Linked DNA regions of Alligator mississippiensis. The protein of the gene in region 4 purifies or fractionates together with the protein of the main gene of each other region. This does not show direct contact. Links are inferred from orthologs where the notes say so. Each region holds a gene or a part of one and is shown on either strand. Other genes may lie near its edges. The genes, in order: SMARCA5, ARID1A, FAM120A and EZH2.

Evidence for each region.
Region 1: the proteins of EZH2 (region 4) and SMARCA5 purify together in Homo sapiens (affinity purification with mass spectrometry, with the first as the bait; 3 studies listed by BioGRID). This does not show direct contact. The link is inferred for Alligator mississippiensis from reciprocal best matches to the Homo sapiens genes EZH2 and SMARCA5.
Region 2: the proteins of EZH2 (region 4) and ARID1A purify together in Homo sapiens (affinity purification with mass spectrometry; 3 studies listed by BioGRID, with this or other methods). This does not show direct contact. The link is inferred for Alligator mississippiensis from reciprocal best matches to the Homo sapiens genes EZH2 and ARID1A.
Region 3: the proteins of EZH2 (region 4) and FAM120A purify together in Homo sapiens (affinity purification with mass spectrometry, with the first as the bait; 3 studies listed by BioGRID). This does not show direct contact. The link is inferred for Alligator mississippiensis from reciprocal best matches to the Homo sapiens genes EZH2 and FAM120A.

Annotation. Positions count from the first base shown.
Region 1 is NC_081825.1:102,404,050-102,411,067, forward strand, and holds the start of SMARCA5 (SWI/SNF-related matrix-associated actin-dependent regulator of chromatin subfamily A member 5), read right to left. Parts: upstream 3,015-7,018; 5' UTR 2,812-3,014; coding exon 2,659-2,811; intron 220-2,658; coding exon 145-219; intron 1-144. UniProt on the Homo sapiens protein: ATPase that possesses intrinsic ATP-dependent nucleosome-remodeling activity.
Region 2 is NC_081829.1:2,932,102-2,939,795, forward strand, and holds the start of ARID1A (AT-rich interactive domain-containing protein 1A), read right to left. Parts: upstream 3,007-7,694; 5' UTR 2,434-3,006; coding exon 1,516-2,433; intron 1-1,515. UniProt on the Homo sapiens protein: Involved in transcriptional activation and repression of select genes by chromatin remodeling (alteration of DNA-nucleosome topology).
Region 3 is NC_081835.1:26,558,486-26,565,569, reverse strand, and holds the start of FAM120A (constitutive coactivator of PPAR-gamma-like protein 1), read right to left. Parts: upstream 3,017-7,084; 5' UTR 2,606-3,016; coding exon 2,132-2,605; intron 1-2,131. UniProt on the Homo sapiens protein: Component of the oxidative stress-induced survival signaling. May regulate the activation of SRC family protein kinases. May act as a scaffolding protein enabling SRC family protein kinases to phosphorylate and activate PI3-kinase.
Region 4 is NC_081828.1:117,666,915-117,674,305, reverse strand, and holds the start of EZH2 (histone-lysine N-methyltransferase EZH2), read right to left. Parts: upstream 3,021-7,391; 5' UTR 2,917-3,020; intron 2,875-2,916; exon of another isoform or gene 2,855-2,874; intron 1,883-2,854; exon of another isoform or gene 1,877-1,882; 5' UTR 1,849-1,876; coding exon 1,811-1,848; intron 1-1,810. UniProt on the Homo sapiens protein: Polycomb group (PcG) protein. Catalytic subunit of the PRC2/EED-EZH2 complex, which methylates 'Lys-9' (H3K9me) and 'Lys-27' (H3K27me) of histone H3, leading to transcriptional repression of the affected target gene.

The DNA.
Region 1 (7,018 bases), on a different chromosome or scaffold from region 4:
TCCCAGAAATACCTGGTCAAAGTGCCAGGAATCAAGTGAAAGGGCCTCAAAGTGCAGATCAGTAACATTTTTTTTTTCATTTTAAGTAACTGCATCACTACTGGCCACCAGTAACATACTGTATACATATCCAAAGTTACATACCATTTTCTCTTCATATGTGGGATCCAATTCTTGAATTTCTTTCTGTTTTCCTGGCGATGCATCATCAAAAGTTTCCTAAAAGGGGGAAGAGGCAAATTAAAGTTGTAACTTTGTGAAAAAAATGACTCAGCCTTATTCAGAAATTATTTTCTGCACACATTTTCTACCCGTAGTGGATGACTTCTCTCTTTCAAATCTTGACACATTAAAAGATTTACTTACCCAGGTTGTAGATTTTTAATATTCAGTTTACTCCTAAGGGCAGGGTGACAGGTTTGAAAAACATAGCTGTTTGGTTTTTTGTACCAAACCAATTTTGGTAGAGATGATGACTAGATTGTTTTTCTACTGACAAATTCTATCTATATATTAATTTGCTTTCTACTCCCCTTTATCCTTTAGAAGGATCCTTTTCTTTGATTACCCAGTCAAACTGGGATTTATTTGGTCCTTACTCCGCATCAGTAACCACCTTTCAACTCTACTATCAATATCACATTTTTACTTCTTTACCAAGCATTTATAAACTTCACTCTGCTTTGGATCCTCACACCAGAAACAATATGTGCTGTAACATTACAGGCAAAGTCCTGCTCTAGACTATTTGTGCTGAAGCTGCATCTTACTCTTTTTTTCAGGGTAGTCTGTAAAGAGAGTAAATAGAAACTCTCCAGGTGTCTCATCACCCATCTGTTTAGGTGACCCACATGAAAAGTTAGCTGAATTAATTCCCTGACAGCAGCTGGGAGCAGAAAAGATATGCTAAAACAAAGGAGAACACATGCAAAAACAATTAACAAGGAAAAAAACCCCGAATAGAATAGACAAAAAAAACCAGAGAGAGAGCGAGAAAGCATGGTCACTGTGTGAAAGGACAAAGCACAAGAGCATACCCAAATATGAAAGGTGCAGTTCCAGTTTAGAAATCAGTGCATTAACACAGTGGTCCTCAGTCCCTTTAGCCCTGCTAGAGCATCCTGCCTATCCAGACTGGACTGATCTGATACGCGACAACCTTGCTTAACAGTGAGAAGGACTGCAGGGCTGTGGCCCTTGTTTACGAGTTCAACTTACCATGAAATATCTTTCACAAAAAAATGCTTATTAAAAGAATAACACCACTTGTTAAAGGGCCAGCAGAGCCTGTAAAGTCCCTGGCAATAAGATTTGGAAAACAGAAGAGCATGGTAATTATCCGAGCACTTTTTTACCAAGATTACAATTTAAATCATTCTTGAATCTCCTTGCAAATAAGTCAAGTGGACTCTTCTTTAGGAATGTAGATTTCTTTCCATTAATATTTGGCAGAACTCTCTCTTGAATACAAAGGACAGATAATGATTGTCAAATGCATATTGCTCCATTTCAGTGCATAATGGCATGTTTCTCAATCCCCTACCTAATTATGGCATATTTCTCAATCTCCTAAAAGTACTGCTACTGGAGGGAGATTTCATCACTGTGTCTCTCTGTGTCCTACATGCACATCAACAGTTTAGTGTTCACAAGCGGTCTGTGCACTGCTACCATCACAGGAGTTACACTGGCAACGATGGCGTATGAGTGATGCAATAGCTGTGATAGTCCACAAAGCGTGTCCTACACTCAAGAGCTTGTCTACCTTGATCCCAGCTATGTAGTTGGTCCAATTAAGGCCACCATCCTCAGAAATCCTACCACCAACAAGGAAGGAAGATCAGAAGTGTCAGCACAAACAAAGCCCCAGCTGCTCTCATCTCTCTTGCATTTCCTGCCACTTTCATTAACTAGCTCAAAAGGCTACCTCTGGGTGACAGCATGCAAGCAAAGAGGCTAACGCTTCAGAAAGAACGCCTTTTTAGTTGAGGCGACAGTCAACGGTCCAGCTAGAGAAAGAGAGCAGCACATTTACAGCTACGATCAGCACACTGGGTGGGGAACAAAAGGAGGCAACAAAAATCGGTACTGAGGCCAACGCAGCACACTGCTTCCACTGGAAGACAGGACCCTAAGTCTTCAAAGGACTCCAAAGCACCACCCATCACACACAAGAAGACATGGACCTCTTCTCCGGTGGCCCTTTGCCTCCCCCCCCCAGCTTTCACTCCTCTAAAGAAGCTTTAAAGATAAACAAATAAAGCTGTCCAAGCCAGTCCTCTGAAGCCGGCTGGGCAGACTCAGGCGTTAGAAGCAGGATGGACTCATTTCCCCAAATCGCGAGCCACAACCCCGGCTGAGCCAGGCTGACGCTCCCGGCGAAGAGCTCGGGGACGCGGGTCCCGGGCGGCTGCCCCCGCTGTGGGGGGGGGGGCTCCCAGGGCGGCAGGACACAGCTGCAAGGGAGCAAAGCTCCAGCCCCGCCGCTTCCACGTGCTCGCCGCCTGCCAGTCCGCCGGGGCTGCCCTGCCCCCGGCCAGCCCCCCGCGCCCACCCCCGGCTCCGCTCGCACACGCGGCCGCGGCCCAGGCGCCTCCTCCCGCTCTATTGTCTGCGCCCCACGCGGCGTCGGGCCGGGCCGGGGGTGCCCTCCCTCACCTCCATGTCGGCGACGCCAACGGCCGCCCCCGCGCTGAGGGGAGCGGCCCCCACCACCACTGCCTCGCCGCTGGCCGGAGCCGGAGCTGGAGCCGCGGCAGGAGGCAGGCTCTCGTCCTTGGGCGGCGGCGGCTCGTGCTGCCCGGCGGACATGATGCCGACGCGGGGGAGGGCGCTTCCCGGCCGGCCGCGTGGGGTGAGGGAGGGAGGGAAGGGGAACAGTGTCCGCCGCCGCTCAGACCCCGCGCGCTGCCCCCGTCCCGGCTCGCTCCGGACCCGCGCCCACCAACCAGCACCCGAGCCGGCTCCCAGCTCTCGCGAGAACTGGCGCGGGGGCAGGGAAAAGAAGCTCCCACAGCTCTTCCCGGAGGGCCGGGGCAGAAGCCGAGTGCGCCTGCGCGCTGAGCGCTTCCCGGTTGGCTATGGGCTGGGAAGACGCGTGAGCTGGCAGGGCCAGGCGCGAGGAAAGGGGCGGGGCGAGCTGGAACGTTAAACTGCCGCGTCACTCTGGCTCCGCCCCGCCTCGCCTGGGAAAGCACGTTTATCACGCGTGGGGCAACCGGGAACTGAAGTGTTCGAACCGGCTTGACGTCACCGGTGGTGGCAAGGCTCGAACTCTTGGTCCCGGGAGCTCAGCTGGTCTGGAGCGCGCTGCTTCAGGTACCGAGGATCGCCGCGGCGGGAGCAGCACGAGCTACCCAACAGCTGCAGCTGCTGCTACTGGCAGACGCACACTGTGCTGTTAAACTCCAGTTGCTGCCCCGCCCCTCCATCCCATCCCCTGGTAGAATTAGCAAAGGGGGGGCGGGGGTAAAAAAAAAAAAGGAATTAGCAAATGAGCAATTAGCAAACTGGAAAGGCTTGGGACCTGAGGAGGAGGAATCGCCGCGGTCAACTCAGGACCCCCTCCCCCTCAACAAGTAAAACAACACATTGCCTTAATAGATTAAAAAGAACAACACAAAAGAATAACACAGCCCACCCATAATGACAAGATTGTAACAAAACAATAACAATTATAATATTTTGAGATTATAACGTATTAAATATTAAATACTGCTTTAATATTAAAAATATATTTAAATAAATATATAATACCTCATATAGGTGCACTGTGATTCTATAATATATAATATGATATTAAAGTATATATAATATTTTCATATAATATTTGGTGAGTCGTGTTGTTTGATTGTCAAATCAAGAGGACTAGAAATGGAAAACAGATGAGGTTAAGAGTCTCTGATATGAAGAGGCTTCAAGAGCCAGGGCTTAGAGAAAAATACGGAAAGCTGTGATTGTCAGGAGCCAGGCTTAAAAGAGATTAACACAGCCAAGAAGATCCAGAAAGGCACTGAAGTGCCAGAATCCTCTTTGAGCAACATTGACTTCCCAGTGAAGTCAACAGGCACCTAAATACTTTTTTTTTGATCTAGCTTCTCAGGCACATCCAGATGAGCGCACACCCATCTCCAGCACCACACACTGTGTGCACTGCACATGCAGGCATTCCCCACACAGCCAATTTGCGGCATAGGAGGGCTTTTTGACACTTGGAGATCCTTGTGTCAAAAAAACTTTGTGGGACCCAGCCTAAAAAAAGTAGGGTGGCATATGTGGTGGCAACATGGGGTGCCCAAAACCAGAGCCTGGCCAGCCAGAGCCACACTCCGGCTGCCAGCCAGGCTCCGTGCTGCTGGATTGCTGTGGCTGCAGCCCCCGGAGGCCTCCCAAGACCCCAGGTACAGCTGCTGGGGCCAGCTCAGATGCTGGCCCCCGTTGCGCTCACAAACCAGATTTCGAGCCTAGTGCTTTAAGAACTGACACAACACTTGGTTGATTAATAGCAGAAAGGCTTGCTTGAATAACTACAAACAAGCTATAAAACTGAATGACAGAAAAAGACTCTTTCTTAATATTCAGTACATGAACTATTACAGTCCTTGTACTATTTTAGCTGCAAGAGACTTTTACCCAAGCAGGCAGGAAGCGGTTCTTATCCTTACAGTTTTCACAGAGCTTGGGTCCTTCATTTGTGGACTGGGTGCAGGATGGCTTCTTATAGATTTCATAGACATTAGGGCTGGAAGGGACCTCGGAAGATCATCGAGTCCAGCCTCCTGCCCCAGGGACAGGAAGTCAGCTGGGGTCATAGGATCTCAGCAAGATAAACATCCACATTTCTCTTGAAGGCATTCAGAGTAGGTGCTTGAACCACCTCCGATGGCAGGCTGTTCCAGACCTTGGGGGCTCAAACAGTAAAAAAAATTCTTCCTTATGTCCAGCCTGAAACAGTCCTGCAGGAGTTTATAACCGTTAGACCTTGTCATCCCTTGGGGTGCTCTGGTGAACAAACCTTCCCCCAGATCCTGGTGGACACTCCTTATAAACTTATAGGTGACCATCAGATCGCCCCTGAGCCTGCACTTTTCCAGGCTGAAGAGTCCCATAGCTCTCAGCCTGTCATTGTAAGGTCTGTTTTCCTGACCTTTGATCATGTGCGTGGCCCTCCTCCAGACTCTCTCAAGCTTCTCCACATCCTTTTTGAATTGTGGAGCCCAAAACTGAACGCAGTATTCTAGCTGCGGCCTCATTCTTGATCTTCCCTGGACTGCACACCTTGCTGGCAGTTCTGTCTTTCTTTTTATACTGTTTTAATTGTATAGCTTCTAAGCATTTTTCTTTGATGGTTGGTCAATTAAAGACCAAACAAAACGGGGAGGAAAAGGGGGAACAATCACATTACAATTATTAAATTGCCTGGCTCCTGTTTTTGGATTTGTCCAGGTGTGAAGACTTGTGTTTCTTGCAGCTACTGACTAGCTCATCAGTTAAATGTGATGGGTCCTGAATAGCTAAACAGGATACCTAGAGGCATTGCTTACCGGATCTGTCTTTGGGTATTTGTTTAACAATGGGACAAATTTGCAATAGCTTGTACTGGTGGTTATGGTCTATTTACAAAACTCCAGACAGACATTGAACAATTGAGACTTTTGTAACACCTTAGATATTGAATGCATGTTTTGAGAAATATGAGCATGTGTTTATGCATTTTTTTTTGTCACATACAGGACACCTTTCCTGTATTCAGTGCACCTTTTACAGGTTTTGCTTGAAATGTATATTTAATCTTCTTTAGTTGCTAGTTCAATTGAAATGTATATGTAGTTTCCTTGCCTTCTCTAGCTCAGCCTCTCTCTCATAGCTTGGATATATACATGTGATGAGTGTGTCAGGTCTCTGCCAAAAATTTTCCTTTTAGAGGAACCATCACGCTTATTTATAGGCTCGGTTGTGGTAGAAGGTTGAGGACTATTAGCATGACTGCGATCATCTTATGGCATGGGTCTAGTATTGGGTACCGCAAGCTCCACTTTCTTTATGCCTAATGCGTTGCAGCCATTAGCGGAGTTTGATTTTCGTTGTGGCAGACTTGTTACTACAACCCAGTCTTGCCTCAGCCACTGTCTTGCATTTTTAAATTTCACAGCCATCAGCCCCAGCCTCCCCTACCCCACCTGGGGCAGCATGCTGCGTGCCAGAGTGCATATGCATGGGTGTTCCCTGGGGACAAGCAGCAGCAGCACATATTGTCCAACTAACCCAGGATTCTGTCTCCAACAACACCATGCTTTAAGACAGTGGTGCTCAATCTTTTTCGCTGGTGAGCCGGATGGGCAGTAACCAGTCTGTCTGCAGCCCAGACCCAGCAGGTTGTCCTGATCCAGCATCGAGAGAAAAAGCAGCAGGAGCCTGGGCCTGATCCAGCCATTAGAGGGTAAGGTAGAGTGGCCTGACCCTGATCCAGCCATACATGTGTGATAGGATCTGTTGTGCCATCCACATAATCACACCTCCTGCCATGCCACACATGCAAGGCAGCAGGCATGATTGTGGGACCCAGCATCAGATCCAATTACGCCTTACGTCAGTTCAGTGGGAGCCCCATGAGCTGCTGCAGCTGGGAGTCCCACAACTGATGGAGCCCACAGCTAAGGAAGTAATTGTGAGATCCAGCAGCAGGACTCGTAGGGTGCTCCCCCCAGCTATGACCAGTGCCAGGCCCCAGATTCTGGCCCGTGTTTCAATTGGAGCCCTGGCAGTCTCTCTGAAGATGGGCGAGTTGGTCTGACCAAATGTGTTGGGTTTTTTTTAAATTTTGGGGCAGCTGAGACCATTCAGGCCCTAGCAAAAAAAAAAAAAGCCAGCAGCCCGCAGAGCCAACCTGAGCAGGGTGCGGGGACCAGGGCAAATCAGCCCATGTGGGGCCCTGCCCCTGCTCTGATCCCACGTGCTTCGGACCCAAAGAAGCTGTCGCCACCATCAACAGCAGCGTCATCAGCAGCGGGGGGTAGTG
Region 2 (7,694 bases), on a different chromosome or scaffold from region 4:
CATCCTTGGAGCACAAAACTTTCTGGACACGGCGCTGATGCTAAGTCACACTCGCTCCCAAGACACCAAACGTGCGCTCACCAACCACCCGAGACCAGGCGTCTCACGCGGTTGTAAGCCACACTTCGGACGTTCAACGCAGGGCTGGGCTCCCACCCTCCAGGAAGAACAGGTTCCTATCGTGTGGTCTCTCTCACTGGTAGCCCACGGCACTCACACGCCTCCCTGGACTGGTTAATCTTTGGCTGCCTCTTCATACCCGTTTGGGTCCAGGAGGACTTTTGGACAGAGCACCCGACTGCTCCATAAAATACCTTCCTGCTGGTTTCCACAAGATCCTACCTGCAAACACGAGACAAGCGGACTGGAATATCTACCCAGAGGGGTCCCTACTCCTTCCCTGCAGACAGCGCAGCGACCGCAGCAGAGAGAAGACCCTCATCAGGAAGCAGGGCTTCAACTGAAGGGAGAGGGCGATTGCAGCGCTCGGAGAGGAGGAAGCAGACACCACTGACAGTAATCAAGGAGCAAAAAATGAAAGTTCGGAGCCACGCCGGAGGAGGGAAAGCTGGAGGCGCAAGTCACACTCTAGAGTATCAAATGTCTCCGCAGGTAGGACAGAGAGGAGAGAGACAAGTCTGCCAACGCTGCCCGAGACGCGCACACGGACGGGGGCTCCTCAAACCTAGTAAGAACAGATACGAACGAGAGGTGAGTAACCCTTGGCTCCGGATCCAAAATGTCTGACTCGCACATGGGTAAAAGTGCCGTGCAGCACCCCCACAGCCTGCCCTCGCCTTTCCACCGGGGCTTTAACAACAAACAGGGGGGGAAAAGAAAATCACACCGAGAGAAACGGCTTAAACGCACGGACGCGTTTACCGGCCCCGCTCCCAAAGGGCGGCGCGCCCAACGCAGCCGGGCCCCGCAGCGCTCGAAGACCGCTGGCGTTCCCGAAAACGATCCCGGTCGGGTGCGAGAACAGCCCTGAAGCCCGGGGATCCCGAGAAGCCACCTTGCCAAACGGGCCCTCCCGAGGCCGGAACGAGGCGCCCTCGAGCGACCGAGGCCACGCGGCAGCAGCCGCCTGCTTGCTGGGGGGCACGACTCCCGCGGCCCTCCCCCGAGGCGGTGGCTGAGGGGACGAGGGGCGCCGCGCGGGCGGGCGGGCGGGCGTGCAGGCGGGCGCGGGGGATGCGCGGAGGGGATGGCGGTGCCATGACATCAGAGGCAATTACAAATGGCCAGGAGCAGGCGAGGGGGAGCCAATCAGCGCGCAGAGAGGATGTCAACCTAAGACCAACTGTCTCCTGGCTTTGACAGCAGGATTTTACCTCCATAATTCAAATCCCGGCGCCGGGCGGTGCGCGGGCCCGGGCCCGGGCCGGGCCGCGGCACAAAGGCCGGCGGTGCGTGCGTGCGGGCGGGCGGGGGGAGGCAGCCATTTTAGACGCGGGCGCGCAGGCACAATGGCAGCTCCCGGGGCCGGAGGGGGGCAGCCGCCCTCTCACTCACCTGCGGGCCGCGGCTGAGGGCTGGCCCCGCGCCGCCGCCGCCGCTGCTGCCGGGGCTCACGGGCGCGTGGTGGCTCCTCTGCGGCCAGGCCGCGCTGCCGCCGCCGCCGCCGTACGGGGACACCATGTCGGCGGGCGCCGGCGGGGCCTTGCCGCCGTCCTGCGGGTAGTCGGCGCCGCCGCCGCCGCCGCCGCCGCCGGGGTAGGCGCCGCCGTAGGCGCGGGCCGAGCTGGGGGAGGTGAGCAGCTGGTTGAGCGTGGGGGTGGCGCTGGGCTGCGCGGCCGCCGCGGCGCCCAGGCGCTGAGGGGGCGGCGGCGGCGGGGGCTGCTTGGCCGCGCCGCCCCGCGGGGAGCCGGCGAGGGCGTAGGCCGGCGGGAAGGCGGCGGCGGCGGCGGGGCCGCGGGCGGCGGCGGCGGCCGGGTAGTAGGAGTTGTACTGGTGGTTGGCGAAGCCGTGCTCGTGCGAGTTGTGCGGCGCGGCGGCGGCGGCGGCGGCGCCCGGGTAGGCCGGCTCCAGCCCGGCGCTCTGCAGCGCTGCCATGCCAGGGCTTTGTTGTCCGCCATGTTGGTGGAAGGCAGCGGCGGCGGCCGGCGCCCCGCGCCCGTAGGGCGGCCCGAAGCCGTAGGCCGGCGGCGGGGGCGGTGGTGGCGGCGGCGGCGGGGCGGCCTCGGCTGCGGCGGGCGGGTCGGGGTGGGCGCGCGGGCCCGCGCTGCCGTTGGGGCCCTGCGGCTCGGGCTCGCCGTTGCTCTCGTCCGGCGCCTCCGTGGCGGCGCCCTCGCCCGCCGGCTTCTCCTCCGCGGCTGCCGCTGCTGCTGCCGCCGCCGCCGCCTCGTCCTGCTCGCGCTCCGCTTTCTTCAGCTCGGCCGGGGCCGGCGCGCCCAGGCTGCCGGCGGCGGCGGGGGCCACCTGCGCGGCCATGATCCCCCCGCCCCGGCGCGGCGCGGCGCGGCGCTGCTCCGCTGCTCCCCGCTCAGGCGGGGCTCATCCCCGCCGGGCCCGCGAGGCGAGGCGAGGCGAGGCGAGGCGAGGCGAGTGGGCCGGGCCGAGGGAGGAGGGCGGGCGGGCGAGCGGGCGGGGGGGGCCGGGACACGGCGGGGCCGAGGAGCAGCGCCCGACTCCGCTCCGGCTCACTCCGACACGAGGCTCGGCTCTGCCATTTTACCCAGCGCCGCGGCCGCCTGCCAAACCCGGAGCGGAGCGCGGCCGGCCGGAGCGGAGCCGCGCGGAGCGGAGCCTCCCCCCGTCACAAAGGAGAGCGGAGGAGCGGCCGGCCCCGGGCGCCTCGCAACTCCGGCGGCGGATCCGGATCCGCGGAGCGGCGCCCTGCTCTGCTCTGCTCCGCTCCGCTCCGCTCTGCCCTGCCCTGCCCTGCCCTTCGCCGCCACAAAAGGCGGCTCGGCTCAGCTCGGCTCGGCTCCTTCCCTTCCCTTCCTTCCCTTCCCTTCCCCCCCGCCGCGAAACCCGGCGCGGATCGGAGCGGACTGCGACGGGAATGCGCCGCTCCGAAAGAAAGTCTCTTTCTTCCCCAGCTCGGGCGAGCGGCCCCCGCGCCCTCGCTCGCTCGCAAGTGCCACCAGCTCTTAGGACATTAAAAACAACTTCAAAACACTGGGTTTTGGTGGGTTTTTTGGCAAAGGGTTTGTCCTGGGAAGTGCTGTTTGCGTCCACCCCCACTCCACTTTCTGCTCCCTGCCCCCGGAGATGCTGCCCCCCACCACCCCCACCCCCTCGCTGGGCCCGTGCCACTTGCGGAGCCCCTAAGTCAGGACAGCGAACCCCCCGCTGAAGACCTGCGGAAGGGGAGAGAGCGGGAGCAGGAGGCCCGGTGGCCCCGCTCTGACCTCCCGAGGCCCCTTCCAGCCCTTGTTCCCCGTGATTTTATACACGTGTGTCCAGCGCATGGCCCTGGCAGGCACTGAGCGGGTCGAGGGGTGGTTCAGGGTCCCCTTACAACCGTCTTCTCTGCCCAGGCGAAGCCCCCCTGGAGCCAGCAGGCCCTGTCCCAAGTCCTGTAGCCCAAGCGCTGCGGTTGCGTGCCGCGGGGACGACGGTTCCCTCAACCACGCGTGTGATCCAAGACGATAACAAAATGAAACTAGATCAAAATAAAAGTGAATTTAGACCGCCAAATCAAGTCTCCGGCATTAGGAAGTGGTAGTCTTCGTGATATCAGCGTTGATAACCCAGTTGACGAGACTTCCCCCGACTTCAGAAATGCTTGTTGGAAGGGGGAACTTTTCCCGAACAAACGCGATTGTACATATATGTCGAACGAGTTTGCTACGGGGGTTCCTGAACAAGGGACGGGCTGGTGGGAACGGTCTTTCCCTTCTCCGGTGGCACGGGGAACAGAAGGCACCCGCAGCAATTACCTGCCTCGGGTTTACCCAGGAAAGGGGTTTTTGGTGGCAATCCATAGCTAGCAAGCCACAGTTCACGTGACACAAAGCGCATCCAAATGAGCAGACCAGAGGCCCAAGAAGCAAGACACAGATGAGACGCTGAACAAGTGCTAGTACCGCCCATGCACGTGCAGTGGGTATCTGGGCTTTCAAGCCTATAAGAGAAGTGGCATTCACGGCCAAGCGTAGAATATATATTTTCTAACGACGTAGATGGGAGAATCGTGGACACTAAAACCTAGACGGGATTCAGTCTGAAGGTGGAGGCAGGGATAGGGATTTGCACAAGTCAATGGGTAGCAAAATTCAGACTATATTCTAGAGCCACAAACTGCATTGCAGGCTCCCTAACAAAAGCAGCTTTGCCAGTTTACAATAGACTGTTCAACACAGAGCAAATTCCGCCTCAGCAAATTGGCCTGGAGACAGAGACTCGGCCTCTCTTTTTTCCTAATATTTATTGTACGGGGATAATATGTAACGGTTGCTAACGTTAGTCCTTGCATTAGAACAGCACCCAAAGGCCCCTCTCAGGACTGGCCTCCCAAGACGCTAGGAGCTACCAGGGAAATGCTGGGGGCTGCAAAGTAGGCATCAGCTCTGCTTTGGAAAAAAATAACATCTTACAATCCGATCTGAACCCGCAGACCTACAATGTTCTCCAGGCACAAACTGGATCGGAGACTCTTTCTCTTTCAAGATGTCCTCTGCCAATTGCCACAAAATCCTGAAGCAGTTTCTGAGCACTGAATTTAGGGCCGGACTTTTCTTGACAACAGGCAAGCGCTGCCGTTGCTTTTTCTGGAGCAGAGAAAGATTTCAGAGATCTCTGGCTTCCCAATCCTTCCCCCCATGTCTGTGTGCCCTGACACCGCGCACGGAAACTCGTCCTCCAGCAGAGAATGGTGGGGCGTATTTCCGTAAGCTTGCTCCGGGAGTGTTGCCTCTGAAGCAGACCGCAGGGGAAAGGGAGACAGTACGTTCCTGTCCCAGTCGCTGAGCCGGCCTAGACTGAAAGAAGACGCCTTCACGTTTTACTGGGCACCGCGGCGGGCTTTAAACTTTGCTCAGAGGAAACAGTGACCCGAGCCCTCTTCGCAAAGAGGCATCTGACGTCCGACCGAAGAGCGAGGTCCAGACTGAGCCGGGGAGTCGACTCTCCCTCAGCAGACCATGTTACGGTCTCCACATGAAGGAGGCCTCGTGCTCTGTGCCAGCCCTGTGACAGGATGTAACGTCCACGGCGGGCAGACAGAGAGGATATTCTTTTTTCATCTCTTAAAATGACGCACTAGGAAAAACAGGATCGTGGAAGTTCTCTCGTTGAATCCCCAACTCTTTTGGTCCACACAATCCTGATTTCCTTCTCCCCCACAAACCAGGCCGGAGGCTACCTCATTAAATGAAGCCTTGCTTTTTTGACTGAATGCCTTCGAGTCTTTCAAAGACAGAGCAGGCGTGAGGCTTCAGTCTAGTGGCTCCTGTAGGCAGACAACGAGTATCTGCTCTCAGCTACTGTCTGCAGCGTCGCACTTTTGGAGCCTTCTCCAAAGAGCACCTTGGCTCGCTGTGAAGCGGAGAGCGAAAGGGGCCGTGGAAAACATTGGCCGGTGCCCATGCACACCCCCACCAAGGAGACGCTCCTTTTACCAATGTTTCAGAGCAAAGCCCTACCTCATTTTAGGACTCTTCCATGAGGCCCTGCCATTTTATTAACTAGCGAGATGCCTTGTGAGATCCTTACCATCCTATTTGGAGAATAAAGGTCTTCTGGCAACCCTAACACCTGTGAATGTTTGTCTTTTATCAGCCTCATGGTCTAGCCTCGTGACTGTGCCCCTTCCAGCCAAAGAGACCCGGGCAAGGCTTTGCTGAAACGTGCTAAAACTCCTCCTTTATTGACCTGAGGCCACGTCGAGAGACTCTTCTCCTCCCCACTCCCCAAGCAGTCTGCAATAGCAAGGCCAGGTCCTCGGTAGAAATGCACAACTCGAGAGCTCTTGGTTCAGAGATGAGACTTTTTATGAGACCAACTGAGAAACTGCAAAAAATATATAATTTTTTATTGCAGTTTTTCACTTGGTCTAATAAAAGGTCTCATCTCTGAGCCAAGAGGTCTAGGTTTTTGCATTTCTTTTTGTCTCAGACCAACACAGCTACCACATACATCCCTGAAACATGGAAGGCCCTAGGTAGTTCACTTAGTAAGATGCCACAGGATGAAAGTCTCACTCGGGTCTCTCACATGGCAATGAAGGCCACTGCCGCTAGGTTGGCTCCTACTGAGTGGAATCTCCTTCATGAAGGTGGCCCTGCCATTTAACCTGGCACCACGGCAGATTAGGAAACCTGGGATAGATTAGACTACTGGAAACAGGAGTAGAGTCTCCCTCCTCAAAGAGGCTCTTGCCAACTGTGTGATGGCAAATATGGACTGAATCGTTGACATGGAAACGGGACTAAAGTCTCTCTCTCGCACACTCACACACACACGCGCGCACAGCAGAGTTCTTATCATTATCCCTGGCCCCCTTAACCAGGCTACAAACGTGGACTGGATTCACACTGTAGGAACTGGAGAGAGTTTCTGTAATAAAGCACGAACTACTTCTTGCAAACAAGAATAAAAATGCTGAGCAGAAAGGTTCAGACTTGGGAATAAGGATGCTCTTCCATTTTACTGAGCTGCACAAGCTACTGCGAGAGTAGATTGGACCCAAGAAGAGACCAATCTATTATAATTCATAGAGCACATTGCAAAATATGGACTGGAGCGATGGAGGCTTAGCTGCAGTACATGACAGTAGCTATGGAGTTGCTGAGCAGTTTCTACCCACCCCCCCTCAAAAAAAAAAAAAGTTTTCTGTAAATCTCCTGACGTGCGTCGGCCCCTACACTCTCCACTATTTTCAATGCTCTCATGCTTAGGAGAAGCAGCTCGTATTGCTCCTTTGTAGAAGCTAAACACTAATATTATTTCTGAATTATTTATTTCCTGACTGTTTTTAATCTACTGCTCACTGTACAAGGCAATGCTTATTTGAAAGTAATATCGAGGTCTGGTGTTATTCCCTCCCAAGCACTGCCACAATGGCAAAGGGGCACACAGTAAGAGATCTCCACAGTGAAAACTGAAGTGGAGTTTGAGCTAAGGTAACTCTGTCAGTTTACTGAACATACATAGCTGCAAAGTTCAAAGGCTGGAGTGGATTTTCAACTGGATTTGCTAGGTCTTCAAAACCAAGCGAGAACGTAGGTACCGTACTAAACTAAGGTTTCCGACACACTTGGAAAATCTAACGTTAACATTTGAGTAACATTTGACAGTGAGCTGAAAAACTTTGGGATGCATATTGAGAGAGGAAAGTGGACTCAACTCTGACTCAAGGAAATCCATTATTTTAGCAGCCCTCACCAGGAGCTGTAAAATCTGAACTGGAGCTTTTGGCGTGGAGTGGAACCGCGCCTTGCAACACACTCAGCAGATCTTTCCCGTGCCATGCACCTCTCAACCTGCTGGGTCTCAAAAACAGAAGGGAAGTACAAAGTGGAACAGAACAAATCATAGCTTTAAGCAACGTGGGATTCATTTATTCAACTGAAACAACCCCCTTCCATGCCCTCTCTTTCAGTATGACTCTCTTTCAAATGGCCCAAGCGAGATAATAACAACTTTTTGTACGCCTGGACGTTGGAGAGAGACTCGTTTCAGCCTAAAGCGAGGGTTAATCGAGAGGGGTGGCTGTGTCTGAATTCAACATTAGGAGTAAAATCGAG
Region 3 (7,084 bases), on a different chromosome or scaffold from region 4:
AAAATTTCTCATCAGTTACAACAGGAGCGAGGGGTGGGACTTCCACTATCACTGTAGGCTGAACTACAGCTGCCTCCAGAATGCAGGATGACTTCTAATGTGGGGCCTGGCAAACAAAATAGACCATTTCCCCCTGTAAAAACGAAGGTCTCATTGAGCCACACACAACTCCAAAAATTAGTTAACATGGTTGTTTCCCCTCTTCTGCTGAACAGTGAAAAAAACCCTTAACCTCAAATTCATCTTTTAGACACTATTTTCAAAAAATGCAATCTTTACAGAAACGCACCCCATCCTCAACGTTCTCCTTTGGCCCAGTTTCAGCACTGTGGTATAATCTGCCAAAAGGACAGTACAAAAGCCTGATAATGTTAAGCTCCAGTTACCGAGCACTGCACGACTCTGAAGGTCAGGTAATATTTACTACGCAGCAGAAGTAACAGGCAACAACTCTTGCAACTAGTGAGTATGTGCTCAACTGCTGCGCCCCTTTTCCTTAGGAGTTTAAGGAAACAGCTCCTGGAATTACACATTTTTGTTAAAAAATTATTTTTACAGTGAAAAGTATGTGTACAGTACCACTTTTGTTTTACTTCCTTTTCAAATCAGCAATACAGAAAGAGATTACCAAGTGGTCTGTTAAATGTAAAATGTTTTGTGGCCCTCAGAGCCATCTTTTCAATACTGGGGCAAACAGACTGTAGCAGACATATAAGTGCAGTCAAAACTACCAGCAAGTTGAGCCTTTTCCTTAAAATAAAAACATGTTAAAGTAAAATGGCTTAGACACATCTGTTAAGTAGTCTTTGGTTTATAAAAAAAGAGAGAGGGGGAGATAGTTAGGACAAGACTGTGATAGTTATGTAGATTAATCAAGTGTCATGCTACCTTTCATCCTTTATGAAAGTTGACTTTTTTTTTCCAGGGGAAGGAGGTGCTTTGTTTTCTTTTTTAATTCTTTATGTCTGACATGGTTATTCTGAGCATTTTATTGTAGATTCAGAACCTGTGCACTTCCTCCTCCATTAAGGCATGCACCTGGCTTCAATCTGGAGTCTGCCTCCACCTGGAACCTGTTGCTGACCTCTAAGGGAGACACTCACTTAACTGAACTCTTTTTAATCCTTAGATTGTAACGCCAGTTTAAATGCTGGCAAACAATGTAGGTCTTCATTTGCATAGGCAGATACAGAAGTGGAAGTATATTGTTACCTGTAGAGTTACTACTTAACCTGGTATCTCAGTCAAGAGACCTCTGAGAAACAAGTACAGGTCACAGAAATGAATGGAACAAAGCACCGAGATCATGGAGGCAGAGGGTCTAGCCTAACACCGTGAGCCCAACTTTTGAGGTAGAAACTACAGAAGCAGAAGAGAGGAGCAACTAACTCCTCAGCATCTGGAGGCCCTCCACAGCAGTGAGCCGCCACGTGCGAGAGGCAGCCAGGGCCCAGGGCGGATGCTCCGGGCTCCAGGCAAGGGGACACGGTGCTGAGAGGGGAGGAAAGAAAACGGAAGAGGCAGAAACTCGGCGCGAAAGGAGGGAGGTGGATGGAAGTTGCTGATGAAGACGTGATGGGGGAGAGGCCGATGGAGAGAAGCGAAGAGAAGGAAGAGGCGGACGAAGGAAATGAGGCGGCAAGTTTTCTCGGCCGGGCGAAGTTTTCCCCGGGCCGCGCCGCCAGCGCCGTGCCCGGCCCTAATCCGCGCCGACAGGTCGGGCCGGGGAGGGGCTGCTGCAGCCCCGCCACGGCCTGACAGCCCGGTATAAATAGAAAATCCCGGCGGAGATTGAGGCCATCAGGGTGCCCGCTAAACCCTTCCCGCCGCCGCGAAGGGCGCCCCGCCGCTTCTCGGCCGGCCTGGCCAGGGGGGCCCGCAGCAGCGGCGGCACAAACTTCGGCCGCGGCGGCAAGGCCTCTCCCAGGCCGCTCCGCTCCGCTCCCACCCGCCCGCCCGGGCTCGGCGACATTTTGCGGATGCGGGCTCCCCCGGGCCCGACATTACCGGGAGGGCAGCCCCGCTCGCTGCCATCTTAGAGCCTGGTGGCGGGGGCGCAGGGGCGCGCGGCGGCAGGGGGCGCCGCGGGGCGCAGGGCGGGAGCCGGGCCGGGCCGGGCCGGGCCGCTCACCTTGATGTGGAAGCGGATGAGGGCCAGGCGGATGCAGTGCGCCATGCAGACGGGCGGCAGGAACCAGACCTTGGGCGGCGGCGTGCCCTTGTTCTGGACGTGGCTGACGATCTGCTGCGCCGTCTGGCGCTCGTTGCCCTGGCGCTTCACCCACTCGTGCAGCCGGGCCTTCTCCAGCGCGCCGTTGAAGAAGACGAAGAGCTCGATGTTGCCGTTGAAGCAGGCCTTGGCCAGCGCCGCCAGGTAGCCCAGCATGTGGTTCCACTGCCCGCCGCTCACCCAGTCCGTGTAGAAGCCGCCGTAGAGCCGGTGCAGGCAGTTGTCGGCGTCGATGAGGAGGCGCAGGGGGGTCTGGGGGGGCCTCTGGCGGCCCCCCCCCACCAGGCTGCCCCGGGCCAGCTTCTGCAGCTCCACGGGCACCACGGCGCTGGGGCAGTGCTTCTCGATGTAGTCCTGGAAGCCCTGCACTCCCATGGCGAGGCGAGGCGAGGCGGGCGGCGGCCCGAGGCGGCAGCGGCGGGAGGGAGGGAGGCGGGCGGGCTTCGGGGCCGGCCGGCGAGGCGGTGGTTGCAGGGGAGCGGGAGCGGTGGAGCCGGCTGGGAGCGCGGGCGGGCGGCGGCTGTTCAGGGGGGAGTCGTGTGGATGAGTGGGGGGCTCATGGCTGCTGCGGCCGCCATGTGCTGCTCTCACAGAGCCATGGCTCGGGGATCCGGGCTGTGCTGCCGCTGCGGCTCCTACTGCCGGGGGGAGGGGGAGCGGCAGAGCGCGCAGGAAGCCAACCCGCCGCCGCCGCCGCCTGCAGCAGCCGCGCGAGCGGAACAGGCGGGACTTGGCCGCCGCCGCCGCTGCCACTCACAGCGGCCCGCGCACACGCGCCTCGGCCCGGCCACCGGCCCGCCCGCGGCCGCCCGCCCCGCCCCGCCCCGCCCCGGCCCCCTGCGCGGCCCCGCGGCCCTGCCCTGCCCTGCGGCTGCGGCACTGGGGCGGCGGGCCCGGGCGGCCTGGCGCGCGGCGCTGTTGCATAACCCGGGCATGCGCCCTGCGAGCGGCCGGCGCGGAGCGGAGCGGAGCGGAGCTGGCGCGTAGGCGGAAGTGGGGGCGGGGGGAGGGGCCCGGCCGGGCAGCGGCGGGGGGGGCACCTAAACCCCTCTCCCCCCCCGCCGGCCGGGGCGCTGCTCCCGCCCGAGCTGCGCGGCAGCGGCGGCGGCTGTGGCACGAGGAGGCTCTGCCGCAACTCGCTGTTACGTCAGCGCTGAGGGGAAAGCGATGCTTTTCCCCCCAGGAATAAATCCCCGCCGCCCCCCCGCGCTGTCATGGCAGAGGCCTACGTGCGACTCGTCCATTGGGGCCGAGGGCTCCGCTCCTCGCTCCCCGCCGCTCGCACTCGGCCTGGAGCAGTGCGGGGCCCAGCTCGGATCGGAGCCAAACTGGCCCAGAATCCGTTTCTGGCGGGTTTGGTTTTTCGGGGTTTTTTTCCCCCAGTTCGGCCACGCCGGGAGGAGCGAGCATGTGTTCCCGCCTCTGTAGGTAGAAATGCAGCAGCCGCAGTCACTCAGAAGTGAAGGCGGCAGTAAGGGATTAGGCTTATCCCGCCTGCGGCTGCAGGCTGAGCGCTGCCGGGGAAAGCAGCTGGAGGAAACTTGGTCGGCTGCAAATGTAGGCCCGACAAGCCCCGCTAGTCCAGCCCATGCCTCTGTCAGCAGCCTGCAGTTCGGAGCGCTTGGGCTCTCCAAAGTACGACCTGTTGTCCTTTTTTTTCAGAAGTGCTGCCAACGTTACGTTGGATAATTTTCTTATTCCAGCTTCAGATACTGAAATGGTTTAGAGGCCCACATTTTGGCTTCAGATGTTTCCTGGCATAGCAAGCTGCACAGTTTCTTTTAATATCAACATGGTGCCTTAATATTCCTCTGCAACTGTCAAGTAGGGCAGATACCTTATACTGACTTTAATATTATATTGGCAAAAATAACATTTATTTTAACAAGATTTCAGTTAGATTGGCACCTAAAATAAACATTCCCTTGTGACTCACTCGTAAGCAACTGGTTCCTAGGGAGTGGGCTGGTTTGCTCTTCAGCAGTATTATCACAAATCTGGAGGACATTTGTAGCCCAGAGTGACTGATGTAGCCAGTACAGACGGTGAAATACCCAAAAGTATAGAAGTCCTTAATGAAAAAGTGTTGTGTGGAACAGGTGTTTTTCTTTTAATACTTTGATAGCACAGACCTCCTTTACAAATATCTTTCTGCAAAGGTTTTCATGAGTACCTGGCAAGAGCTTTTATCCAAGTTAGCTTAATAGAAAGCTTAGTAGATTCTCCCTATAAAGTGTAATCATCTAATTTTGTTACAATATTAAGGATAATACGACAAAGCATCTTAGAAGAGTTTAAAATTGTACAAAATATGATGTGGAATAAGACACTAATTGGTTAGAAGCACAATTAAAGATTTAAGGGGTCTTTTAAAAAGTGTCCAAAGCTTCAGCAGAGAAACACTAAATGCAGTGCATGAGACAAAAAAAGGTCTGCGTTCAGTTAGTCAACAGTCCAGCCAAGGAAGAATGTAGTGTTCAGATCATTAATGTGACTTTGTGATAAACCATTCAGAATCGCAGACAGTGAATGAAAAGATTACAATCAACTTTCCTTCTTCAAAATAGTGTCTGTGAAGACATGTCTTTCCCCTTTCCGTCTCAGTCTGACATCTCTTGCACATAGTGCAGGCTTTTCTCAAATGAATCCGAAACATCACACAAAACAGCTGACTCAAAAAAGTAATCTATAGTTTATCATTAAGCAAGAGTTACCAGAGTACATTTACATTTAATATGCTGAGGGAAGAAATCAGACAAATAAAAACATGACACCAAAAAATCTGGAGATTTTTTAAAAGAGGAAACACTAGGCAAAAAGGACCTAAAACGTGAGGATATTAAAATCTTTACTCTTGGCACAGAGCTATTTAAGCATAACATAACTAAGTGACAGATGGCACATGTATCCCTAAACAAAAAAGGAAATAGGATGGAATTACAAAACAGTATGTTTCAAATGGTTATTTGGCCCAAATAGGTATTTTTCAATAATTAGAAATCTGACCAGAAGTGAAAGCAATAAAAAAGCAACATAAATTATGGTAGACAAAATTAAATTGGAAACTAGACAGGCTAGAAAGATTTAGGATCAAATAACCAAAGACATAAGATATTTTTTATATTTATCAGAAGCAGAAAGCCTGTGAAAGAATTGGTGGATCATTTGGCATGATCTGCTAAGTTAGGAAAGCATTTGTGGAGAGGCTAAATGATTTATTTTTTTCTCCATCACTGAGGATGAAGTAAGGACCTAAAGCTTTTCACCCAGTTAACAGGTATAGATCAGTGACTTATTAAAGATCAATGACTCATTATCCAACCTGCATATCAGAAAACTTGGGAGTGGCTTTTTTGGAAAGAACTGAGCAGGCATAGGGAGGAACTTGAAGTAACCAAGCCAGGGTTGAAGGTGTGAGATGAACTTTATTGTTTTTTATTTTTTTAGTTCATGAAATGAGGGTGAGTTTCAAATCTACTGCATTTGTACAGTAAAATAAGAAAGGCATTCACTTTTGCTGCATTTCCTCTTGGTCTCTGCTTTCTGTGGGTGTGAGAGAGTCTATGTCACTGGACTGCCACAGAACCCTCTCTTCTGTCCCTTCTTTAGAGAAATCTCTAAACCTTTCCTTGCTGCTGCTTTGCCCACATCACACAGAGTAGAAGTATATTCCAGGCCTGGGCAGTTCTATCCACTGGAGGGCCTCTTAGTGAGTTTTGGTAAGCTCTGCCCCATGACCGATGCCCCGCTCCCTGGTTGCCATCTTGGGACCGGAAGGCCTGCCCCCTAACCTTTGCCACCAGAAGTCCCTCCTCCCCTTGCCCCCACAAGTCATCCTTTGGGGAAGGGGATTTGCCACCTTGGAACCTGAAACTATATACTAAAAATAAAAAATGAACAGTAACATATGTTACTTTTATAGTAAAAAAATATGTTTGTCCTGATTTGTGTGGTGTATATAGAGGTGATTGTATAACAGCTCAAGATGAGGTCTTACTCTTGTATATTGGCAGGGGGGAGCGGAGGGTATGGATGGGTGGGTATGGGGTTTGTGGGGAGCTGTGGGTGGGTGTGGATGTGTGTGTGGGGGTGTGTGTGGATGTGAGTGGGTGGATATGGGGGCTCGGGGGTGTTTGTGGGGAGCTGTGGGTGTGTGTGTGTGGATGTGTGTATAGGTGGGGTGTGGGGGTGTGTGGATGTGTATGGGGGGTCAGGGGTGTTTGTGGAGATGTGTGGGTATGGAGTTTGTGGGGTGTGTGGAGAGGGAGAGTGTGGGTGCATGTGTGTGTGTGCAGGGGTGCATGCGGGGTTTGTGAGGGGATAGTCTAGGTAGGTGCAGTGTTCATGGGGTATGTGATTGTGTGTGGGGTTGGGTGTGGTTGTGGGGATTGACAGGGGGGCATGTGGTGGCGTGTGCATGAGGGAACCCCCAAGCCAGTCAGCATCTGCCCCCGCTCTGCAACAGCTCGGAGCCCATGTGCCCTGCAGTGCTTCCCCACCACCACCAGCAGCACGCAGCCCCAGCTCACCCCATGCCTGTTCTGGACTCACCCCTGCCAGAGCAGATCAGCAGAAACCTGGGCACAGTCCCAACCTGGCCCATCCCATATTGCCTGCCCGTTGCACATCCTTCTGTACCCCGGACATGCAGCAGGGCTAGGGTAGCTCCATGGCTGGTCTGCCTTTCTAGACAGCCCAGGTGGCAGTGACTTCTGGCTGCCACTACCGCTGGCCCCAGCCCCATGGTACCAGCAGGGACCTGCATGCAAAGCCCACAACCTGCGCACCACACCTGCTCTGGACTCACCCGCCCAGGCTCATTAGTGGTAGCACAGGACAGAAGCTGATTACTCA
Region 4 (7,391 bases):
GCTGCCCACAGCCTGGGCTAACTGCAGCCAGGATGCTGTAAACTAGAGTGCTGGGGTTATGGAGCCCCATGCAGCTAACATGGGTAGGACAGCTGTGCAAGCACCTCTAGGTGAATGGCTGGGAAGGGGCTTGGGGCAACACAGGCCTGGCCCTCCCTTGCCATCTGCCCAGAGGCATGTGTTCAACCACCACTGCTAAGGCTGCGGAGCCTAGCGCAACTGCCTGCAGCTGCCCCACCATCTGCTGCAGCTGTCTGGAGTCCAGGCTGGCAATGGCAGGCAGCTGGGAGGCAACAAACAGCTGCTCTGTGATCTGCAGCCCCACCATTGGCTCAGTGGTGGCAGCAGCAGCTCTGCACACACCTCTGGGCAGACAGCAGGGGAGGGGCTGGGGTTGTGCAGTCTAGACCCCTTCCCAGCTGCATGCCCAGAGGTGTACATGCAGCCATCGCCACCAGACACAGTGGCGCAGAGCCCAATACCACAATTTTCAGCCTTCCGACTGCCTGACAGCTAGCCCAGGCTCTGGGCAGCTACAGCAGGTGGCAAGCAGGCCGCAATCAGAGCCCCAGCACCAGCTCTGTGCCACTGGTGGGGGCACACATGCCTCACATTGCATGGCAGGGAAGGAGCCGGGGCAGCGCAACCCCAGCACCTCCCACGCTGTCCACCCAGAGGCGCATGTGCAGCTACCACCAGCAATGAGGATCAGACCACTCATGGGTCCCACGCCTCTGGCATGCCAAGTCAAGGTGTGGGTGGAGGTTCGGGTGTTTTCTGGAACCTCTGGCCAAAAACGTTGCTGACCCCTGCTTAGACAATGTCCAAGAGCTCATGACAGTCAAGACAGTGCTTTCTAATTTACAGTACAGAGAAGTTACTGCATACATTGGCTGTCCACACACACTTTCTACCGCAAATGTACTCTTAATGTACATTAAGAACATCCCTACAAGCATTTATTGCAGAGTACCTAGGTTACTGCAAATTCATCCCTTAGCTTACTAAGTAGCAGCTTCCCCAAATATAGAAACATTAGCACAAGCACAAGGATATACTTTCTACATTATAGCCTTGTTAGTGCTGGATCCAGTTATACGAGCAAACTGGATTCTAGGCTGATACACAAACCTTCAACAAAATTGCTACCTAAATTCCATTTAAGAGTCTTTAGTAATTCTAATGAGAGGCAAAGTTACTCCGATTTCGATCTCAGTCTACAGCCCATTAAGAAAACAATTTGTAAACTGAGCAAATTTAATCTACAAGTCATTGCCACAGCAGGCAGTCCCAAAGTGTCTGTCACATTTCAGAATACAACTATATTTTAAAATCTGTATAAAGAAACCAAACCTTGCATATATCCTATTATGCTAAATTAGGATCCTGAAATGCATCAGAAAATGTAGCTGTTGATACCTCATGCTAAGTTTTAAAGAATGCTTTTAAAAGAAACCTCTGCCAATACCCCATAACTATTGGGGGGGATATTTTCACAAACTATCTTTTCATAATCCTCTCCACAGCAACCAAACAGTAGGTGGTCTTTTTGGGCAGGAAGCAAACAAACACAATAAATAAATAAATAAATAAATAAATAAATAAATCTGACTCAGTTTAACATTCAGTCTTGCACAAATACAGAATGTTTAAACCAAAAGTTCTACGTTTGTCCGCATCAAACTACTTCAGAAAAAAAAAAAGCATGAGATATACTGTCCGTATCACCGATCTTCATAAGGTCCTAAGTATTCAAATCATGACAGACCAAATGGCAGGTACTTTTAGAACACTGCGTACATGTACTCACCCTTCACAACATGCTTTCTGGTTACCACAAATAAACATCCCAGGAGCTCCCAGCTGGATATGGACACTTGGGACAAAGAAAAAGAGCAGCTTTTAATGAACTGTTACAAGTGACAGGCAAGTTCCAGGAAAGTCCTAAACCCTGGGAACAGAAGAAAACCCCCGATTCGGAAATCAAATGAGAACTCGCCGCACAGGTTTAGGTCTCAAAACTTACGGCCAATCCCCACAGCACCCCCCATACAAATCCTTTTCTGCGAAAGACGACAATTGTAACTTGGGGTCATCAAAAAAGGATTCCTGCTCCCCTGTTTCCCTTGGGAGAGGGGAGAAAAACAAAAAGCTAAACTCCAGCTTCCTAGTGGCAGGGGGTTGTGGGGCTGGGGCACCAACCGGCTGCATAGCAGAGCCCCCAGAACAAAAGCCTCCAGCCCTTCCCCTGACAAGCTGACACTGCCAGTCCGCCTGCCCGCCCACCCCACTAAGTCTTTCCAGTCAGAACCAGGCGCCCGTGAATCAGCCCTCCACCTCCGCCACCTTCCCTGGGCATGAATCATTTGCCCCAAGTTGGGGGATGCTCCCCAACCCCTTTGCTGACACCTATGGCGGAGACTCAGAAAAGGAAAATAGAGCAAACAGAGGGCTGGGAACAGCCCATGCTCGGCTCAGCCTCGACAGCTTTCCCGCCATGGCCAAGGGGCCGGGCTCACAGCAGGTCCCCGCCGGCTCCCGAGCCGGTCGCACGCGGCCGCATTTGCCCCGCACTTCCCCCAGAGGCGCTGGCAGGGGGCGGGGGAGGCGGCGCGTGCATCACAATAGCGACCGGAGCTGGCGGGCGGGCAGGCGGGGGGAGGGGAAGCAGCGACCACGGGGGCCGCCTGGGCTAAGCGGCGGCTTCCGGCTGCGGGCAGCGCACGAGGCTGCCGCGGCCCCGCCGAGCCCGGAGGCGGGGTGCTCCCCGGGGGCCCCTTCGGACGGGATCCCGAGCCCCCACCCCGTGCCCGCGGGAGACAAAGGGCGCTGTCACCCGGGGGGCGGCCTCCACCTCCACAAAGGGGGCGCCGGTTATAAAGAGCCCCCAGCTCCGCTGACGTGCAGCCTCCTCACCCGCCGCCGGCTCCCGCGAACGCCCGCCGCTGCCTCCGGCCGCCGGATTCACCCTCCCGGGCGGACCGAGCGCCAAAGCCCGGCGGCCCAATCCGCGTCGCGCTCATTGGCGACCACCAAGCGCCGCCCCGATTGGCCGGCCGCGGCGAGAGGAGGACGGTGCGCAGGAGCCAATCCGCGGCGGCGGCGGGCGGGGTCAGCGCTCCCCACGTGCGGGAGGGAGGGGGGCGGGGGAGCCCTTTGTTCTCGCGCTCAGCGCGGGGAGGGGGAGTTTCAAGCCTCCCCCCTACACCGGCCCCGCTCCACGCCGGCCGTGGGCGCGCGCGGGGGGGAGGAGAGGGGTTGGGGCGCGGGGGGGACCTTGAAACTGTCATTTGCGTCACGGAGGGAAGGGGCTGCCCTTGCTCGGCGCTGCCGAGTTTGAATCAGTTCGAAAGTGGGAGCCGTAACGGTTCTAACCGTCGCGCCTCAGCGGCGCGCGCGGGAGGGGCACAAGCGGGGGGCGGGCTTGGCTGGGCTGCCTGTGTGCCCCCGGCGCCTCCTGCCAACCTGTTGCGACCCGAGCGGCTCCACTGCCGCAGTCCCTGCTGCTGCCCTTTCCCCACGGGCTCAGCCCCGGCTCGCTGGAAGCCCCGCCCCGGCTGACACCTGCCGGGAGCCGGCCTCGGGGACGAGTCTCAAGCCCAGTTCAAAACTGTCCCTAGCGCAGAGCGGGGCCGGGAGCAGCCTGGGCTCCTCGCCCCTCCCTTTCCCAAAGACCCTTCGCATCCTCGGTAGTGTTTTTCTCCACATCCAAGCTGACAGTGCAGCCCCGGACGGTCGCGAAATTCCCAACAGGCCCCTTGTTTGCTAATAAAGATGTTGACAAACCCTCAAGCAGCTTGCTGCACTTAACAGGATGCCACGTTTCGCAAAACAGCTTTTATCCAGGGCTTTTAGTAATGCCCCATCTTGCAGCATTACCCAAAACCTAATGCCACTGACATCAGCCTTCCTCTCAGGCCTCTAATTTGTGGGCTGCTGTCTATTCGGTCTTGGCCACACTGTCAAGTGGAGGCCATGCTTAAAGTTTTCCTGTTGCTTTCTCTACAGCATCCCCACAAAAAAAGGCTGTCCTGTCTGTCTACGCGGCCTTCTCACTCAGGCTGTCATCATCCCACACTCTTGCTTACTACCTAAGCCTTTTCCTTGGCCTTCTAAGGAAAAAGGGTTTTTTTTCCCACTCATGCCAGTTCAAAACTAGGGTAAATATGATTTTACCAGCTCAGCATTTTGGCCATGTCACCTTTTTTACATCCCTCTACCAGCTCAACTTTATTAGCTGGACCACGCAAAAGCCACTTGTCTGCATTTTCATGGTTATTCATAGCCCATCCCCATATTACCTGTTAGCTCTTTGTCATTGTCAGACCTCAGCTCCCAAGACTCATTGGCCTGGTTTCATTGGCAGAGTTTCCTGTTAAATTTCATGTTACATTCTCAATCAGAAATGTGCATGCTTTCTCCTAGGCTGTAACTCAGACTTATAAGAGGCTCCTCTAAGTTCTTCAAGTCTTTTCTGAAAACTGTCTTTGGCCATTATACCTAAAAATATCATTTAGGCAAATAAGCATGCAGAAATCACTGCCTATTGCTGACTGGGGTCATTTCCTTGTACTTTTGCATCTGTTTCTCTATCTGTATTTACCTGTTGTCTCATCTTATATTGGAAGTTCTTTGGTGTCAGAGAACCAGGTGTCTGTGTTGTCTTTGTACCACAATTAGCACAAGGGATCCCGAATATGATCGAGGCTCATTGGTCCTGCCATAACGTATTTATCTGTAAAAACAACAGCCACATTCAAACAACCATGAGTTACCCCTCTCCCAAATAATTACATCAGTGAAACACCATTTTTTCAATAATACATTCTGGGTGTTTTTTGTTTTCCCATTACTGAGTCTTTAGGGTTCACTTCAAATTTGCAACCTTTCCCCAGCAACTATAAAGACTAGAAATGTATTTGTCTCTTAATTCTAGCAACCTGTGTTTCAACAAAAATCTAAAATATCACAAAACTTAAAGAAAATCTTCTGACCTGATAGAACTATAGCTCTGTCTCCTTTGTTTTCTGATCCTTACATTGAGTCAATGTTAATAGTTCATTTTTATTGTAACATCTTCCTTTGCAAATAAAGAAACATAGCAGTTACAAATTCTCCTATCCCTTTCTTAATTCCAGCAGAAAAAAAATGATAATTTCAAAAGATTCCCGTTTGTGATTGTATTTACCAAAATTGGCACATTTCTAAAATGGGATCTATTGATCAATTCTGGATATAAAGCTATTTAAAACTACCCCAAAATGGCTGCCAAATTTAAGATGGCCACCCAGTTCTTTGCTATTTAGAATTTGAGACCATTAGTTTGTTTTCAGTGAGGAAGCATAAAATGGTCCTAACAAATAATGTTAAAAATAACTTATTGTAATTGGTTTAGTTAATTTTATTACTGAGAAATTAATATTAAACTGTTAACAGATCCTCATCTCAGATGTCTGCACTTCAGTGGAAAGTTGTTTGTGCCCGGAACTGTGGGCATGTCTACACGTACAATTAATGCGACTGAATAAACTCTGGTGCAATGTGAGCCAGAGCAAACTAATACTGACGACACTGTCTACACATGCAGTTAAGCGCAGTAATTTACTCCACTGTTGGATAGTATCTCTGTCTGACGACTATCCAGCGGCTCTGTAAATTAGTCTACACTGGCCCAATTGCCGTGCATATGTAAACAATGACAGTTTACTGCACAGTAAAGCATATATGTAGATGTATCCTGTTTGGAGTTAACTAGTTCCAATTAGGAAATCAAAGATCAAACGCTCTGAAAGGACTGGGTTTTTTTGGTGGGAGTGGGGGTTGTGTACTTTTTTAAAAAGAAATACTCTTTCCATTTTAGTTGAATTGTGTTGCCTTGATGTGTAAATCTAATCAGAAAATAACTCTTAAAAAGCAGACTGTCTGATCATCAGTCTCCTGCAAACAGCCTGAGTGTTGGCAGTTGTTTTTTCTGCTCCAAGGTGTTTAAAGTTGCAAAGAGCTGCTTGTAGACTTTCCATTCTCACTGAGCAAAACCTCCCAAGTGGCTTTCTGTTTCTGACTTATTTTCATAATGGAAGAAGGTCTTTTTAACTAAATGTTCTTCTCCAAGAAAGGAAAAGAAGATGTCAGATACAAAAGATATAATTCATAATTTATAGAATATCATTTGAATGATTAAATTGATATTTTGCAAAGTTATTTCATGCATTTTAGTATATTTCTTGATGAAACCATCTAAATTAAAGCATTTGAAAATCATGTTAATGTTCAAAATGTTTAAATTATATAACAATGGAAACAAAATCCAAATCAGAAAAAAAATCTGATTTGGATAGTATACATTTCTTTAGATTATTCTAAACATTTTTATTTCTTTATTCATCATTTTTCTGGTTTGGTCCTGTTCCCTTTGACAAAATCATATGAATTTTCATAGAAGCAGGATTGGGTCCAACCCACCAGTGAAACATGCCTGTTTTTTGATGCATGAATCAAGTATTACATAAAGAATTTACAGAGTATTGAATTGTTATATGCTATGAGTCAGACATCTCAGCACTGCATTTGGCCTTAAAAACATTTTAAAATGCCAGAAGTGCAAGCAATTCTGATCATTTATATAGGGGCAAACTAATAGCATGTCTTTATTTATTCTTAAATTACAGGCATCTCGTGGAGAAAGGGATACAATAGTGTAAAGCAAAATTAAACACTGGTAGGCTCAAAGTAGAACTTTTTTTTTAAACGTGAAGAAAGTTTTTTTTAACAAATATGGGCTTCTGATCGTGTCTCTAATAATTTCACTACCAATTTCTGCAGTAAAGGGCCTCTGATAGTATCCCTGTCTGGAGGAGCCAGGCAGAATCAGTGGAGGAATCCCTTTAGTTTGAAAGATTCCACTTTTTTTAAGGCAGGCCTAGAACACTTGTTGATTGGATGCCATACAGTGCTTCCTGCTTGGCTAGGAGTGAGTACAGTACATGTGAGCCAACTCCACCCCTATTGCCTGACATCAGGATTATTGGTAGCTGATGCTATGGCTCTTACAAGGAAGTACAAAAATGTTTAAATTTCTGCCTTGTCAGCTATTTCACAGCTGTCCTCTCTACTTTGAGATATGGCTGCAGCTAGTGACAAAGCAGAGGTTTTTTGGGGGTGTGGGTCTGTAATGTGGCATAATTTAGTACATTTTAAGCATTAGTTCTTTATATATGGCTGAAATTCACTGGGTCCAGTCCTGCTTCTATTAATTAAATTAGAGAGGGAATAAGTACATTTTTTAATTTATCAAAGGACCAGTAGTCCTTTTTCTTTACATGGACCCACACTCTCAGAACACATGGAATAATCAAATTATTTGTTATAGCAGGCGGACAATGGGTGTGAGC